Oryzias latipes: one gene and its partners. The protein of the gene in region 1 interacts with the protein of each later gene in a pairwise test. Links are inferred from orthologs where the notes say so. Each region holds a gene or a part of one and is shown in the gene's direction. Other genes may lie near its edges. The genes, in order: wac, DPY30 domain-containing protein 1 and traf3ip1.

Evidence for each region.
Region 2: the proteins of wac (region 1) and DPY30 domain-containing protein 1 interact in binary tests that used the Homo sapiens proteins (3 or more experiments, as listed by UniProt). The two-hybrid records come from large-scale screens. The link is inferred for Oryzias latipes from reciprocal best matches to the Homo sapiens genes WAC and DYDC1.
Region 3: the proteins of wac (region 1) and traf3ip1 interact in a two-hybrid assay, tested with the Homo sapiens proteins (2 studies listed by BioGRID and IntAct). The link is inferred for Oryzias latipes from reciprocal best matches to the Homo sapiens genes WAC and TRAF3IP1.

The regions. Positions count from the first base shown.
Region 1 is NC_019878.2:7,914,721-7,919,315, reverse strand, and holds the end of wac (WW domain-containing adapter protein with coiled-coil), read left to right. Parts: intron 1-1,013; coding exon 1,014-1,206; intron 1,207-1,282; coding exon 1,283-1,410; intron 1,411-1,496; coding exon 1,497-1,566; 3' UTR 1,567-2,808; downstream 2,809-4,595.
Region 2 is NC_019877.2:16,025,451-16,031,624, reverse strand, and holds DPY30 domain-containing protein 1, read left to right. Parts: upstream 1-2,427; 5' UTR 2,428-2,495; exon of another isoform or gene 2,496-2,555; intron 2,556-2,614; 5' UTR 2,615-2,638; coding exon 2,639-2,788; intron 2,789-3,364; coding exon 3,365-3,484; intron 3,485-5,243; coding exon 5,244-5,438; intron 5,439-5,545; coding exon 5,546-5,557; 3' UTR 5,558-5,677; downstream 5,678-6,174. UniProt on the Homo sapiens protein: Functions as part of axonemal radial spoke complexes that play an important part in the motility of sperm and cilia. Plays a crucial role during acrosome biogenesis.
Region 3 is NC_019879.2:26,413,670-26,419,212, reverse strand, and holds part of traf3ip1 (TRAF3-interacting protein 1), read left to right. Parts: intron 1-943; coding exon 944-1,031; intron 1,032-1,200; coding exon 1,201-1,281; intron 1,282-1,690; coding exon 1,691-1,826; intron 1,827-1,906; coding exon 1,907-1,943; intron 1,944-2,034; coding exon 2,035-2,111; intron 2,112-5,543.

The DNA.
Region 1 (4,595 bases):
TTTTAATCCAGTTTTATTAGATGACACTTCAACTGAAATGGTTTGTTCAGACCTTTTTTTCCTTATTTTTGAAGATATTGCTGGTTTGAAGCAGTTGAAGAATTGATAAATAAATCTCTTCCAGTTTAAATTGTAACCAGTGATTGTAAATTTAATAATGCTGCACAACTTGCAGTGCATGTTACTCTGCTTATGTACGGATTTTAAATACCGGTAACTGTAATACCTCCACACACTGGGGCAAAATGTAATTTTTATGTAACCGACCAAGTTGACTGTATTATAAAAAAAACGTATATTTTTAACAAATTGTAACACTATTTTACACAGACTATTCGGAATATTTTTAAGGAAATGAAAATGCATAAAAGTAATTTATTAATGCTGTAAACACGTCTTTTTCATCTAACTGTAAACTTTAATTCAAACATGCTGAGAAAACAAAAAACAGATTTACTAGAGATTTCCCTGTTCTGCTTCCAGGTGATCAGGTTTCATATTAAATCAGAACAAAAACAGCATAATGTTGATCTTGTCATTATATATCATTTACATTAAATCTGAAGGAGGAAGGTGGTAGTGAGATTCAGCAAAAACATCTGACAGCTCACAGTTTTTGGTGTAACACCAGCTCAACGCTACAAGGACGCTGCTAAAACAGAGCGGATTCACTTCAATTATATTTAGAGAATATCCGTTCTGGAGACTTTTTTTCTATTTAGCTTCTACTTTGACAGCAGTTATGGGTTAGGGAAGCTCCATGTCTCATTTTAGTGGAACCCACATAAAATCCAGTGTACTAATAAAGTTTAAAGCAGCTGCAGATATTGGACTTGCATCAAGAATAAGTTGGATGTAGTGGAGAGAATCCAGTAGTTTTCCAAAGTAAAACTTCCTTCAGAATCAGAATATAAATAAAACGGCAGAACTGTGGGTTGTGGGTTTTTTCCTCCGTTTCAAAGCTTCTGCAGAAACATCTTGTATGACTGCATGTTTTTTTCCCCTCCATGTAGCAGTCAGAGGAGTCCGTCTCCAGGTTCCAACCACGTCGCCTCCAGCAGCAACGCCCCCAACTCCGCCTCCGCTCCCCCGGCCTCTTCTACATCCCGGCCCTCCTGTTCCTTCACCCCCTCCCTTGCGGCCCATTTCAATGAGAGCCTCATCAAGCATGTGCAGGGCTGGCCCGCAGAACACGTGGAGAAGCAGGTCAGTGTCCACCGCACACCTCCCCTCCCTCCTTCTTGGCTCCGCCCCATTTAAGTTTGCCTCCGTCTCCCCAAAGGCGTCCAGACTCCGCGAGGAGGCTCACACCATGGGCAGCATATGCATGTCGGAGAACTGCACTGAGCTCAAAAACCTGCGCTCCCTCGTCCGGGTCTGTGAAATTCAGGCGACGTTGCGCGAGCAGAGGTGAGTCGTCCGCACGCTTTCTGTTGCTGCGTCCAAACCCCCCCATCTCACTCCTGCTCTCTGTTCTTCTGCCCCCTCCCTTACAGGATATTGTTTTTGAGACAGCAAATCAAAGAACTTGAAAAGTTGAAGAACCAGAATTCCTTCATGGTGTGAGAACTTTTGGTGGGGGGTTTGGGGGGGTGTCCGGAGGTTGTGGGGAGCGGGGTTGTCATTGCACATACTAGGAAGCCGGCAAGAAAAACGGTTCCTCCCGAACCCAGTCTTAACACACGGGAGCTGCAGTCCTGCTGGCAGACCACAGGGGGGCGACAAGGAGCTGCTGGTGTGGTGGGTGGGGTCAGGGAGGGGCTGATTTACAAGACTGTGTTTTTGTAAAAAAAAAAAAAAAAAAACCACGGTGGATTAACATGTAGATTTCTTGTAGATGTTATCTATGTTGTAAATATGTTTTGTAGATTGAATCCATGGAAAGCCATGCCTATCAAAGCTTTTGACATCCAGACTAATCAGCCGAGGCGCCAGCCTCTCCGTCACTCATCTGCAGACTTCCGTTGTCACGTCACGGATCATTGAAGCGCCGTGCCCAACGTGAACGGAGGAGCTGGCCTCACCGGGGTCATCGGTTTGACCTTTTTAGATCCTCTCCCACCTGTGGGTGTGGGCGGAGGCCTCCTCCGTGCAGGTGTTCTGTAAACGCTCACAGCGCTTCAGTGATCCGTCAGCAGTTTCTGGCGCCCCACTTTGAGGAGGACGGGTGACGAAAAGACAGTTCCTGGTGGTGCAATGGATTCCAAACGAGGAGCGTGCTGCTTTGGACCATTCCTTCACCCTCAGCAGACCTCTTTGGAGTTGAACTCCTTTCTTTCCGTTTTGTTCCCTTTTGTTCGTCAGCTCTGCACGCTGACTGTCTTCATTCCTTTGTACCGTCGCTAACAGCAGCGGGGTTTTAGAGAAGGCCAGCTTTCACGTGTGGGTTGCAGTAATAAGCCATGCATCACCCGTCAGGAGCTCAAAAGCGGGTGGAGGTGGGGCGCCTCTCCGGTCGAACGCAGGGCAACCAGGGGTCAAAGCTCAAATGTGAAATGTATGTAATGTAATAAACATGTTAAACTAAAGTGAGCGCTGAGTGTTTTGTTGGAGTGTCTGCTTTGGTTTATATGCTAGTGCCTTGTTGAAAGTCTTAAGCCTCATCACCCGCAGGTCCATGTTTGCTGTCATCCCGCCGGATCAAAAGGCCCAGATTTAGTCAATATCCTTTAGCTCCTCCCCCATATTCATCACTGTCAGCTGCTGCTTTATGCCCACCAACACAACATTTAGTTGAGCTGACCATGTCATTGCTTTGTATAATGTTTCCTGAAATATATTGACAAAAAATAAAGGATGCCTCTCCAAGGCAGTGTTGTGTTCAATGCTCCTTTGAGCTTCAGCTCATTTTGTTTTTTTCTTGTTTGTGAGAAAATGACTAAAGCCTGAAGCTACGTTCACAGCGTCCTCGGCAACGCACTTTCAATGAAAAGTCTGTGTAAGCGTGCATTTTGAGCTTCCGCGTTCAAAACTATCATGTTCGTGAATAGCTACATACGTTTCTACTGCCGTTTTTGGGTTCTTTGTTTAAAACATGGCCATGGAATGTGCGCTTTAACCCTTGTGCTATCTTAGATGACCCCACCCTTACATTGACGTGTTCTCCCTACCATGTCAAAGGTGTATAAAGGTGGAAAGATTTCATGTAATCCATGGACACCATTGAAGTTCACAAATCATTGAAGAAAAAAGGTTTGGCGCACTGTCTTGTGGGTCTAGATGACCCAACTCCCAACGTTAAAGTGCCTAGGATAGCACAAGGGTTACAGTGAAACCACAATGACCAATTTGGTGGTGACGAATGGAGGGCGTCCCCTTTAAGTCATGGAAGTCCTAACCGTTTGAAAATTGATCATGGAGGAGAAATTCATAATTGCGATTTGTGTCCGGCTGGAGTTATGACAAATCTTTCATACATAAGAATAGAGCTGTGAAAGAATAAACCTGGAGTAAGATTCACGAAATGTGCACCACTTCAACATTTCGTATCAAGCCTCTTCCAACTGTAGGTGGCGGACATGAGCTATTGAGTGCTAGGAAAAGAATAGGTCCCTCCTTGATCGTCCAATGTGAACACCATATGCTGACAGTGCGTTCAAGAACACGTGGCATTCCTGGTGTGTGAACATAGGTCACACGGTGTTTTGGTTGTTCGAGCCTGTGGGGGATCTTAAGAGAGGCACAGGTGTGTCTTGCGTTTCCCTTGAGGCTCGTACAACCAACTTGAGGGACGTCATGAAAAATGGAATGTATGATAGTCGTGTGTATTGTGAAGTATTTGGAAGGATAATGTAAGTTGCACGCGTTTATGATGTATGAGTGAAACTGTACTGGCTCCTTACTGACCTTGCGTGTGCAGTTGATGGGTAAGTGTAGGACGTCCACACAAACTAAAATGTGTAATTTCCTTAATTCTACCAGTCAGGCTACGTGCAAGCACCTATCGTGTACAGCTCAAACGGGCTCCTTGCGCATTTCGCCTGCGTGTCACTTGTTTTGCCCTTACATGTTGTTTACGTGTTCGCTAAGACAGCACACAGCATGCCCCTAGAGAAATGTGCATAAACATAATTAAGCTTACTGTACCATGCAGGCTGCCCCCCATGCCCCTACCAGGTTTGCCCCCCTTTTTTGCCTGCAGACAGCCCTATCCACCCTAAAGGGCAGTTGTGAGTAAAGCTTTAATTCACCTGAAGGTCAGGAGGTATCATAGATCACAGACATGCTGACCTGTACTTTGGTGACATCTACTGGCAGTTTGTGCTAATCACAGCTTTCAGTGGCCCTAATAATGAATTAAAATCTTTTAACAAATCAATCCAAAAGATACTATGTAGATTCTGGGATTGTTTTGTCATTTGGGCATTAATTATTATATATTTATAGGTTAACCTTTGAATGGCAGGAACATATAGGAACTAGGCTTGGGTCATAATGCAGCAGAGCTGTATGCTAAGGTTATCGTGTGCAAACGTTTAGGAGGATCATTCCTGACTCTTGAGTTGTTGCAGCTTATTACACTTACACGAGGAGCATGGGTGGATTTTGGTGTGACCCCAGGGTGGCTCAGGGTATGGCTGACTGATATAAAAATC
Region 2 (6,174 bases), on another chromosome or scaffold:
CCCCACCGGTTCCCACACAGCTGGTCGTGTTTGCAGTCACAAGACAGCCAATGAATGAAGGGGGTCCAGTCTGAAGGGCTGTTGCTGCCACTGTGGAACCTCACCATGCACCTTCACAAAGCTCTTCCTGCAGATTAGAAGTATTTTTTTTTTATCCTTAAAAGTTTCTGGTTATACAAAATGATTGTTTTATGTATAAATTAACACACTGGGAAGATTTCCAACATTTATGCATATCACCTATTCTTGGGTATTTGTGTTGTGATTTCTTTAGAAAATATGAGGAAAGTCCCACCAGCAGTGTTTTGGTCTGTGATCCTGACAGATAATTGAGTAAAGACAATACATGTTCAATTTGACCACTTTGGATCATTTACTGACAGACATAATAAGTAATCTCCAGACTGTGACCGAATGCCCTCTTACATTTGCACCCCCAAAGGGAGACTGGGTTTGATAGTTGTTAAAAATATACAATTAAAAACTTGACACACGTTCCATAAAAGAGAAGGTTAAAATAAAGACAGTTGGACCACACTCCAGCACCGCATGAGGGAGGCTGCCTCCAGGATCGCCTCGGCCCCACTGCACCGGTGGGTAGCCACGACGACCACCACCAAGGGAGATCTCTAATCCAAACCCTCACCAGGAGTACCTGCTCAGGGCCCAAATTCACACAAACACACCACAACCCAAACAGTGATTAAAAGAAAATACAAAACAGAAGAGGTGCAACTGAGCAGGACACCACTAATTTGTAGGCCGGAAATGGGGGGGGGGGGGAAATCCCCCTTACACAATACTACACATGGCACCCACCAGCTACCGTAAGGATAAAGGGAGGAGGCAGCCACCTCCAGCCAGGTCCAACCACCAAGAGACTAAAATGAGCAAACAGTTTAAAAAAATGGATAAGAGCAAGGGTGTCAAGCTTGATTTAAACATTAAAAACACTAAGCAAAACAGCAGTGGCAACTCTGCTGGAAAAAGAAAAATAAGTTAGTTCTCCCTGGGACAAATACATGTTTACAAACCCTTATGTTACCGCTCATGCCCCAGGGTCAGAACTCATGCCACCACCTGTTAATATAAATAGAATTTAAAATGTTGCAAACTCAAATGCTTAAAAAACTTTTGTAAAAGGACTCAAATGATTAAGCTTTAGCTTAAAAAAAAAAAAAAAAAAAAAAAAAAAAAAAAAAAAGCCCACATGTCAAGCTCACCCACCAAGGCCAAACCAGCATCTAGGTGGAACTCACAGCTGCTATTTATCAGCCTCATGAGCCAATCACAGCTCAACAGACAGGTGCTGGCCATGAATATTAACCTATGGAACACCACGAGGGACAAACTACCACCCACAGCCCTGTCTGTCATATAACGATAAAACAGGGATAAAGAGGGAGTTTCCAACTGAGGTCTGTTTCTAACAGTTTGTTTAAAACAAGGTTTTTTTTTATAATGAGACTGCCACTCTGTAAATAACAGAACCAAAAAAAAATCCAAACAATTGCAAAAATCCCAGTGCAAGAAATTGTAATGTAATATGGAGGGGAAAAAGATGAAAAATATATATAAGACATTCTAGACATGTATCTTTCTCAGTTATTATAAGTGGCAATTTCTCCCATTTTTCTACTTAAACATATTACCAAATGGCCCACTTTTTAAGGACAGAACAGTTTATCATAACAGTAGATAAAGCCATTGACTGTACAATAGGACATTATGTTTTAATATATCTATTATGCAGTCAGTAAGACTAACAGGGTCTGCGCCACCTAGTGGTAAAAATTTCGTAAAAATGCACAAATCACATTTTTCTTTGAGTGTGAATATAGAATCTTCCAACAATTTTATTTCTGCTTTTATTAAATAACTATGTAGTAGCATCTGCACCATTTAGATTAAGATAACTATTAGTTTTATGAATTCCTTTTTTAACATAGTCTTTTGAATTATTCCTCCCCCAATTTCTGACATTCTGTGACTGATGTCTCTTTCTGCTTCATAACACATTGAAGCAAAACTTGTAAAGATGCAAAAGAATTTTAATATTGTTTTATTGAGTTTAACTACTGGAAAGCAATTTAAAACACATCTCAAAATGATCACTTTCTCGTCAAAATATTTAATCTGTTTCACAAATACTATTTTGTGCGTCTGTGTATGGGTGTGTGTATGAATGACAATGAGGTTTTTTCACAAATATTTCTTTTTGTCTGTAGTTTTTTTTGGGGGTGTTATTAATATAATTGAGGATTATTATTATTATTATTATTATTATTATTATTATTATTATTATTATTATTATAAAAATCATCATCACCATCATCATATTTATAGTAGTAATAACAATGCCTGAAACAACCAATGGTTGCATTATAGAAATGACATCGAATACAAAGCGGAACTAAAAAACGGTTGGGAGACTTTAAACTGTGTGGGACCGTTACCACGGAGATGCAACCGTCCGCATAAAACAGTAAAATACGGTAATTTCCGTGTTAATTTTGGCTAATTTGTGCAGGTTTTATCCATAAAATCGCTTTCAGGTCATTTTTGTTCGTCATTATTGCCTTAATAGCTCCGAGCCTCCATATTTGCTCTGTAGATAAACAATCAGAAAACGTGTAGCATGATGGATTCGGAGTATCTTAATAAACATCTGGGGAAATGTTTGGCTGAAGGACTTGCTGAAGTGGTTGAACGGAAACCCGTGGACCCTATCCTTTATTTGGCCCACTGGCTGTACAAGTATAACTCAAATACGCTGTACGAGAAGAAGGTGAGTCGTTTTGTTGTTTTCACCAGCAGGGGGCACTAAAGGATGCAAACACAAAAGTTGTTGATTTACAGTGTTTTTAAGCATTACGTGGTTTACTTTTCCGTGTTTTCCATTTACAAAACGCTATAAAAACATAAAGTGATTGCATATATCATAATTTTTTTGAAACGTTGTCTTGCAAATGCAGTGCTGAATTAGAAACTATTAGAAAAGTGTGTAAACACACCAACCATAGTGTCATTTTTTTTTTAAAATGATGGATCTAGATTTTGCACTCCAGCTGCTTCTGATTATACCCATGTTGTTGCATGCCGTCAAACAGGTTTTAAGAGGATAACAGTGTTAGAGCACGTAAACTCATTATGCTGCAGGATGTAAAATAAGTAGGGCCTCAACAACAAAGACTCACCTTTTACCTTTAACACAGAAACTGTCTGTACCTCTACTGACACACAGCTGAGCCCTACTTAAAACAAAATGAAAGTTTAAACATTTTATGGTTTATATAAGATGTATACTTGTAAACTTTAGACTTGTAAGCTTAGATTTGTTCCTGTATCACCTTTGTATTTGCAGAAGAAGGCAAGTCTGGCTCTGCTGGATCAAGATCAGGAAAAAAGCAGCCAAGAAGCATCACATCAGGAAAATCTCACAGAAGAGGAGCAGATCAGTAATGCATCAAAAGGCACAGAGAAAGTACTTTCTCACTTTCTATTGCTAACTTAAAAGTATTTGATTTTAAACATCCTGAATGCATAGCTGACATTTTTAAAGACCTACTCTAACCATCTTTTGATCTATTTTCACAGAATTCCCAGTGGTCTTGTAATTCAAATTCAACTTTACTTGTGCACCACTTTTTCGACTACAAAGCCTCTCAAAGTGCTTTCCATAATAAAATAGATAATTGTAAGATAAAAAACAGTAGTTAAAATAGCAAACATAGTAAAAATAATAATGATAAAATAAAATTAACAACATTAAAACACATACAGACCCAAAACATACACATCCCACAGGTACAATCAAAATGAAGCGCATCAATTGCTGATAAAATTTATAAAATCTAATGAAAACATGTTGACAAGTAAAAACTACATAAAGGCTTTACTAAAAAAATGAGTTTTAATTTTTTTCTTAAAAACCTCCACAGTGGATGAAGCCCTCACCTGCCTGAGGAGACGTTCCACATGGAAGGCCCACAGTACTGAAATCAGGCCTCGTCGTGGGTTTTTGTTCTGACTTTTGGGACCACCAGCACACCTCCACCTGTGGATCTAGGAGGGTCATAAACTAAAAGTAAATCTAATAAAAAAATGAGGGGCCAACTCCATTTAAACTTTTAAAAACAAATGAAAAGAACTTTAGAATCAATCCTAAAGCTGACTGGGACCCAGTGGAAAGATTTCAAAATATTTCTTTATTTTTTTTCTTTAGCACTGCAATAGCCTGGTTTGTTTAGTCACAGGAACAATTCAAGCTGGCCATCTCACCATTTGCAGGAAACGTTCCCAGCTAGGTTAATTCACAGCTTTGCTGGGCTCAGGTGAACGTCGCGTCTGCGACTATGATTGTGCCGTATCAATCAATTATGAAGATTTTAGTCAAAAATCTAAAATCTGTGGTTTTCCGGGACATAGTTTCTACAGAGCAGTAGTAGTTCATCAGAAATATGCCTCTGATTCGTGGGTGGTTTGACCCCTTCCCCCCTTACCGGTACCAGTATTTTGAAACCCTCTCCCGTTAGCTTACAGCCCCTCACACCCACCTAACATGACTGGTGCAACAGAAATGGTGAGCAATACCGGAGCTGTTCAGATGTACAGTTTTGAACCACATGCCAGCTTGGACGAAGAAAACGCCGACGTACCTGGATACATAACAAATATGATCTTTTTCAAACTGCATTTTTTTGTTTGCTCCCAATTAACAACAATTTGAAAAAAGAGGTACTTAAAAATACAATTTAGAGCTTAACTTTCTTTTCATATTATGTCCGCCATCATGACATCTTTTGAATATCAGGCCATTGTTTTTAACAACATGTTAAAAACACAGTTTTCATCAGAGTGGGTCTTTAAAGGCCTAAAACTTTAACCCCCCTCTGAGGAGCCACAGATTAGCTCAGACACTAGAGACAGACGCTGAGACAGACAGCACTATTCAATAGTTAAGCATCAGGAGGCAAATGGGCAGCGCATGAGGGAGGCTGCTGATAAAATCGACTCCAGATGAGTCACGCACACTGCAGAGACAGAATTAAGGAATCTACTCCAGCGTTACAGGCAGGATCTGCACATTGATTCTTAAAAAATGCTGTATAATACAAGTTTGAAATACATTGCAGTCTGCTTTAATAAAACAAATGCTTTTAATAGTTCTTATGTTGAGCTAAAAGTCCTAAAACTCTTCAAAAAATGTGTTTTTTAAATGTAATTTCTTTACTTTTTCTTAGACTGATGATGTGGAAACTGAGAAACTTGAAGATGTCATCCGGTCCTCGTCAGTGCTCCAGAGTGAAGATGCTCAACCCGATGAGACAATTCACCATGAAAAAAAAGAGGAAGACATAACTGACCGCAACCATGAAGAAAAGGAGGAAGAGATGAGAGAAATCAAAGCAAGTCCATCTCCTATCGGTCTAGAAAAGGTAAGTATTTGTTGTTTTTCTCAAATATTTGGTACATCAAAATGTGTGTTCAAAAAGTACAGAAAGGAGCAAACGTTTGCTGGTATTTACTGGACACTTTATTGCAGGAGGCTGCATGATGGAAATTTTGGACCAGTAAGTCATTGGAAGGAACCAGAAAGTCATCAGAAGACTGCCGGAATATGACAGCAATGACGGATCACAAGATAAATAAATAAAAAGTGCTATTTTTTTCCTGATATCTTTGTTTAACATTTTGATATTTTATTTTATTGGAGTAAATTAAAAATGAGTTAATATTGTTTTTGTTATTTAGATCGTATAAAAAATTGCCACCTCACTGTTTCACAATAAGCATGAAAGGACAAATATTGATTTTTGTAATTTTATTGTCTTTTATGGCTTGTTCAAGAAGTGTTCAAAACTTTTAATAAAGTCATTTTAAATTGAAAAAAAAGCTGTAGCTATTATTAGACTGCATATTTCAAAACTGCCCATCGCTCTGCCTTGTTTCCACATTTTACTTGTGTGTCACAATGAGACTGCTCTGTTACTGAGCTCAAAGTTCAGAAGCTACATCTATACTAAATCTGAGTTTAAAAATGAGTATGAAGGGAAGGCTTGTAGAGGAAAACAAATATTTATTTATTATTTCTCCATAAATATTTGTTTCCATGTATTTTATTCTGGCAAAGTTCCTGAATCTTCATCAACCTTTGACCATGAAAGTTAACCC
Region 3 (5,543 bases), on another chromosome or scaffold:
AGAAGGGAAAATGTAACTGATGTCGTTCTCCCAACCGATATATTTACGTTAGATCTGTGAACATATCACATGTGAACTAGCAGCAGAAGAAAACTGCTCCAGATGCAGAATATAGTAAGTCTGGCATAACTGAATATGTGTGCCATAGGTGGACATGAAATATATCCAGAAGACAACACTTCCTGGTTGGATTAGTCTGGTTGTTTGGATGTGTCAAACAGGAGGGACAATCAGAATTTAGCATAGGCATCTTGAACTTTCAAAGTTTTTTTTTTTTTTTTAAGTAATCACAAGACAGAATAAAAAATGTTCCTCAATAATATGCTAATATTAAAATTTTGAAGGTCATTAGTTTTTAAATGTAGATATAAATTATGCAGCCACAGGATTAGCAACAACCGTGGGACCAAAATTATTTGTTTAGTCTCTGACTTTTTAAGTTATTCCAGAGACGGGATAAAAAAAAAAACAATTCACAGTGGAAGATTTTTAAATATATGTAGAAAGTGCAGACAGTAAGTGGTAATAATGGTTGGGAAGAGGTCAAACGTAGATGGGTCTCTACCAGGTTTGCATGCACTCTAGATTTTGGTCCATTCTTCTCAAGAGCTGTGATGTTTTGGGGCTGTTGCCACAGCAACACAGACTTTCAACTCCTTGCTGAGGTCCAGAGACCGACTAAACCACTGCAGAACCTTGGAATGCGCTTTACGTATCCACTCCTTTGTTGAAAAGCTGTATCTAGATTTTACTCCTTTAATGTAAGTTCAATCTCTGCAGGTTTACAAAGAAGAGATTTGGGTATATCTGAAGTTTCTATCATTTATAGAGAGTCTAGGACTTTGCAGTACATTAAGTGATCCTAAAGTCCCTTTTGCTAACACAGGATCTGTGGAGATCTAGCATTATAATCTGACTAACGCTCCACATGTTCTACTGACAGATGAAGATCCACGTTTTGCCCAAAGTTCACATCCTCAGGAAAATGGGAACACTGTGGGATCCTCCATGTCATCTGACATCAACAACAGGTCTGTTCACTTCATACATTACACTTTGACCTGCCATCACTCAAGGGACACATGTAAACATCTCACAACCCAAACTTTGATTTGTTTGAAAGAAACTCCCAGAGTACATATTTGCTTATTTTCTGTTTTATTTTTCCCTTTGTAATTATGTATTTTTATGGTAAATCAGTAGGCTGATGGCCCGACCGGGCAGTGCACGGTTTCGTGTCAGGAGACAAGAGAGTCATGCTGACGCCCCCCCATCAGAGAGGTAAACCTGACGTCACTCGTGGCATCCAGTACTCACGGTTTTCACGTTTATTCTTAAATGGCGTATACTTATATAGCGCATTTCAAGGCCCAAAGCGCTTTACAGTCACATTCACTCAGACACACACATTCACACACACACATTCACACACTGGTGGCGGCTCTGCTGCCGAACACTGGCGCCAACCTCCCACCAGAGTCAAGGTGGGGTTCAGTGTCTCTCATGGGCGTGCAAGGCGGGAATCGAACCTGCAATTTCATTATGGGTCGACCGCCCCACCGCTGCACCACGGCCGCCCGATTCTTAGTGTTTGTCCTACTGAAAAGTAATCAACCAAATAAATTAGAAGCAGGTTCAGAAAACACTGTCTAAAATGCGCTTGTAAATAAGCGAAGCTCCTGTTTTGAAGGCTGTCAAGTGCCAAGCCCAGAGCACCTGTCATCATGGACGGGAAGAAGATGTCAGACGATGAGGAGGAGGATGACGAGCAATTCCTCGTGGAGGAGGCACCCCCTCCACCCCTCAGCGTTCCTGAGAGCGATCGAGTAGGTGCCTCACATGTCAGTTTGAACATAGGGAGACTGTTTGGATTCTTATTTCTTTATTTTTTATTTCCCGTTCACAGGAACCCGCTCGAGAACTGGACAGTGAGGAGGAGCACGGTACACCGTCAGACGTTTCTGCTTCTCCTTTCAAAGCACAGCGTGCCACGTTTACCTCAGAAATTGAATGTTTCTGTTTCTGTCTCCCCAGGGGGCCTGGTGAAAAAAATCCTTGAGGTCAAGAAGAACCACGAACTGCCCCATTCCTCCCTCAGATCTAAAGAACAGGTTTGTGGACGGTGTAGTCTTTCTGTCTCCACTAGAGGGCAGTACGGGTTCTAGTTCTTTAAGTTTTGTCATTTGTTTGAGCTTTTCTCTCTGTGAACTTTGCTTCCAATGAACCAGTAGCGGTTTTAGGCACGGGCCATACGGGCGATCGCCCGGGGCGGAAAAATGACGGAGGGGCGGCGCCAGCGGCTCAGCTCTTGTAAAATACTTTATGCATCACTATTGGTTTACTTATATCACAGAGTTTGTAACAGCCTGAAACCTGGCGGCGCCCCCGCCCCGCAGCTGCGCTCCCTGCTGTCTTTGAGAAGTAGACGCAAATGTGTGTGAGAAGGAGAAGGGAGGGGGCGCGGGGTGAAGAAGGAGAAGGGAGGGGGCGCGGGGTGAAGGGTGCAGGCTGAGGTGAGCACGGAGCACAAAACGCATGCGCAAACCTGGCTGGATCTTCTTCCAGGGGGGCAACGGTCGCGGGCCGCGGCTCAGTGCTTCATGAAAAAATAAAAATAAAAATTGCGCCGCCATGTAGCGAATTGGCGCCCCTGGGTGCAGCTGCACGCGCTCCTGCTGGAAATGTTTGACGAACGGGAGGGGGGGGGGCTGCGGGTATAAAAAAAGTATAAAAAAATCATGCTTTTTTGGTTATTTCAAATAAAAAATGGGGAAACAAAAAAAAAATTCTTCACTTAGATGACAGTTGGTTTAGTCGACAGACTTGATACCTATGTCAGGACATTTAGGCTAAATGCAAAAACATCTGAAATATGGAGAAAAAAGGTCAAAGCTGGTGCCCAATTTAGAAAGAAAAGAGAAGAAGAGGAGAAAAGAGACAAAGAAAAGGGTATTATCGCATAGCTAGATGCACGTTTTCTAAATTCGAATGCTACCTGCCCTACAACAACAACAACGTTGCAGAGGAAAAATCTCTTGTTTGGTCTATCATGACCAAAACTGAAGTAGGCCCAAATATTGCAAATAACGTCATTTTTAAGATATTTATTCTTAAATGTTTGCTCTGCCTTAACTTGTAACATTAGTTATGATTCGTGTGTCTGTCTGCTCTGCTGTAACACAAAGTTTTTGTTGTGTTTTATTGTTGTATATTAGTTCATAATGTTAAATAAGCTGTGATGGTAGCATGCTGCTGCTGCTGCTGCTGCTGCTGCTGCTGTTAGCTTTTCAAAACTCCAGTTGATCAAGTCATACCTGAGATCACCAATGTCTCAGGAGCAACTCACTAACCTGCTGTTGTTAGTATCAATCATTCAGGGGGGGGAGCAGATTTCATTTGATGACGTTATTGACAAGCTTGCATCAGGAAGGCCACAAAGGTTAGGTTTTAGTTAGTGTTTTCTGTTCTTAGTGCTGCAGTTACATTTATTCTAGTGTATTATTAGTGTGATTTGTAGTTTATAATATTTATTTCAGATTGTTTGTGTTTATTAAATATTTCCTAACTGTATTTTCAGTTACAATAAATGGACAAAGTGACTCTATGGGGGGGGGGCGCTAGAGGAGGGCCTCGCCCGGGGAGTAATTCAGGGTAGAACCGCCACTGCAATGAACCCTTTCCAACCAAGTGCAACATTGGCATTTACTTAAAAAAAAAATGAAAAAAAAGGTAAACAAACAGAGTAAAGAGGTGTAATTGCAGTTCCCTGAAACCTCAGAAATGTTCTCCTCCAGTGAAGCTGAATTGCTTATAACCAGACAGGTTAGCATGGCCCCTAACAAACCACACACAATTGATACACACATCTAGATGTCTGGAGCAAAAGGAGCTTGTTTCCTTGGGTTGCTCAACTTTGAGGTATGCCTATTTATTTTCTTCATTTATATTCTCGTTAGAGACTTTCCTGTTTTGTGAAAAAGTATTTGACATCTTGGGAACAAAGTTTCTTTGTATTCATCCTTTTTTCTCTGTGAGGACTATACAGGAAAGGACATTTTTTCCCCTCTGTTACAAATATTTTTTCAGGACTACAGTTCCTGCTGGTTTCGCGAAAATTTCCAGGAGGAAATATATAGAATTGTAACTTGGACCCATTATAAGAGAAGAACCACACAGGAAATCATTCACAAGTTAGGAAATATGGAACGTAATATGTTTTTCCCTTGGTTTTGGTGAAAGAATCTGCCAATGGAACTAGTAGAATTTGTCTTGGTTAGAGTTTTTAAAATAAAAATATAGAATAGAACATATAGAAATGTATATAGAAATGTATATTCAAACCTAATTTTGTTTATATATGTTCTCCATCATGAAAAAAATGCCAATCATCTCATAGTGATAGTGAAATTGCACATGTAAGGATCATTTTGGCTCAAACATTACATACTAGGGTTATTAGTCAAATGAAACTTTCCAGTTTTCTTAAATGAAGCAGGACTGTTTTTTGAAACAAACTCACCATCCACAAACGAAGCGTAAAAATGTAAAGGAAAAACAAATCTTGTTTAATTGGACCTTTTGCTTGAAATGCGATGTTTTCAAGATCAAATATCTTAAGATAATCAAGATTTATTATCCTTAAACAAGTTACTTCTTTGTGAAAAGTTACTATTAAGTTAGTTTTTTCCATTGATTGTATTTAAGAACTGGATGGAGTGAATGACTTACAATGAAATGAAGCCAATTCAGTCACCCTTTTGGAGGCAGACATGAGCCAGCAGTGATTGGCTTGAGTTGGTTCGAGTCAACACTTCTTTGGCAACCACTCTCTCCAATTAGAAGTGAGCTTGTTGAAAGTCCACACCTGCCACTTGAAAGGGGGCTACATGAAATCTGTCGTTTGACCAGCAGGCACCACATACTTTTATTGAGACCTCCGTCAGTTTATAACTTGAATAACTTGCACTACAGAAAAAGAATATCACGAGAAAAATCAATCGAACTTTATTAATCCTAACAAGGGGAAAAGTAGAAATTTCAAGGAACAGTTTAAAAAAGGAAGGAGAGCAAGAATGGTTATTCTGACCAATGAATTACTGAGGAACAGCTGATTATTTCTCTATAGAATTTAATGGGAATTTTGCTTCTTGGAGCCAGCAGGTACTTCCTGTTAGGAATGCGAGGGGTGGGGGGTGGGTCACTCAGACCAGTTCTTCTGTACGGTCAATGGTTTTGTCTTGTATCAAGTGTATCATGGGGTGTTTGGGGGCTGTAATGTTCATTTACCCATCAACCCTGTTGGGGGAAATCGTTCCCAACTTGGATCCAACTAGCAGTAGGTCTTTCAGGAGAGTTTCTTCTGCTCTTTTATCTTAGTTTGATGTTATTCCCAAAAAAGCGCCCAAAAGTTCTAACAGTTTGTCTTCTGTCGACTTGGTTATCAGCCACACAGACGGTCCTGTTTCATTTGTGTCTGGGGTAAGAAAATGTTCAAGGCTCACAGTTTGGTCTGCAGGCTTTGGTGTGAGGTGGTGTATGCTGTC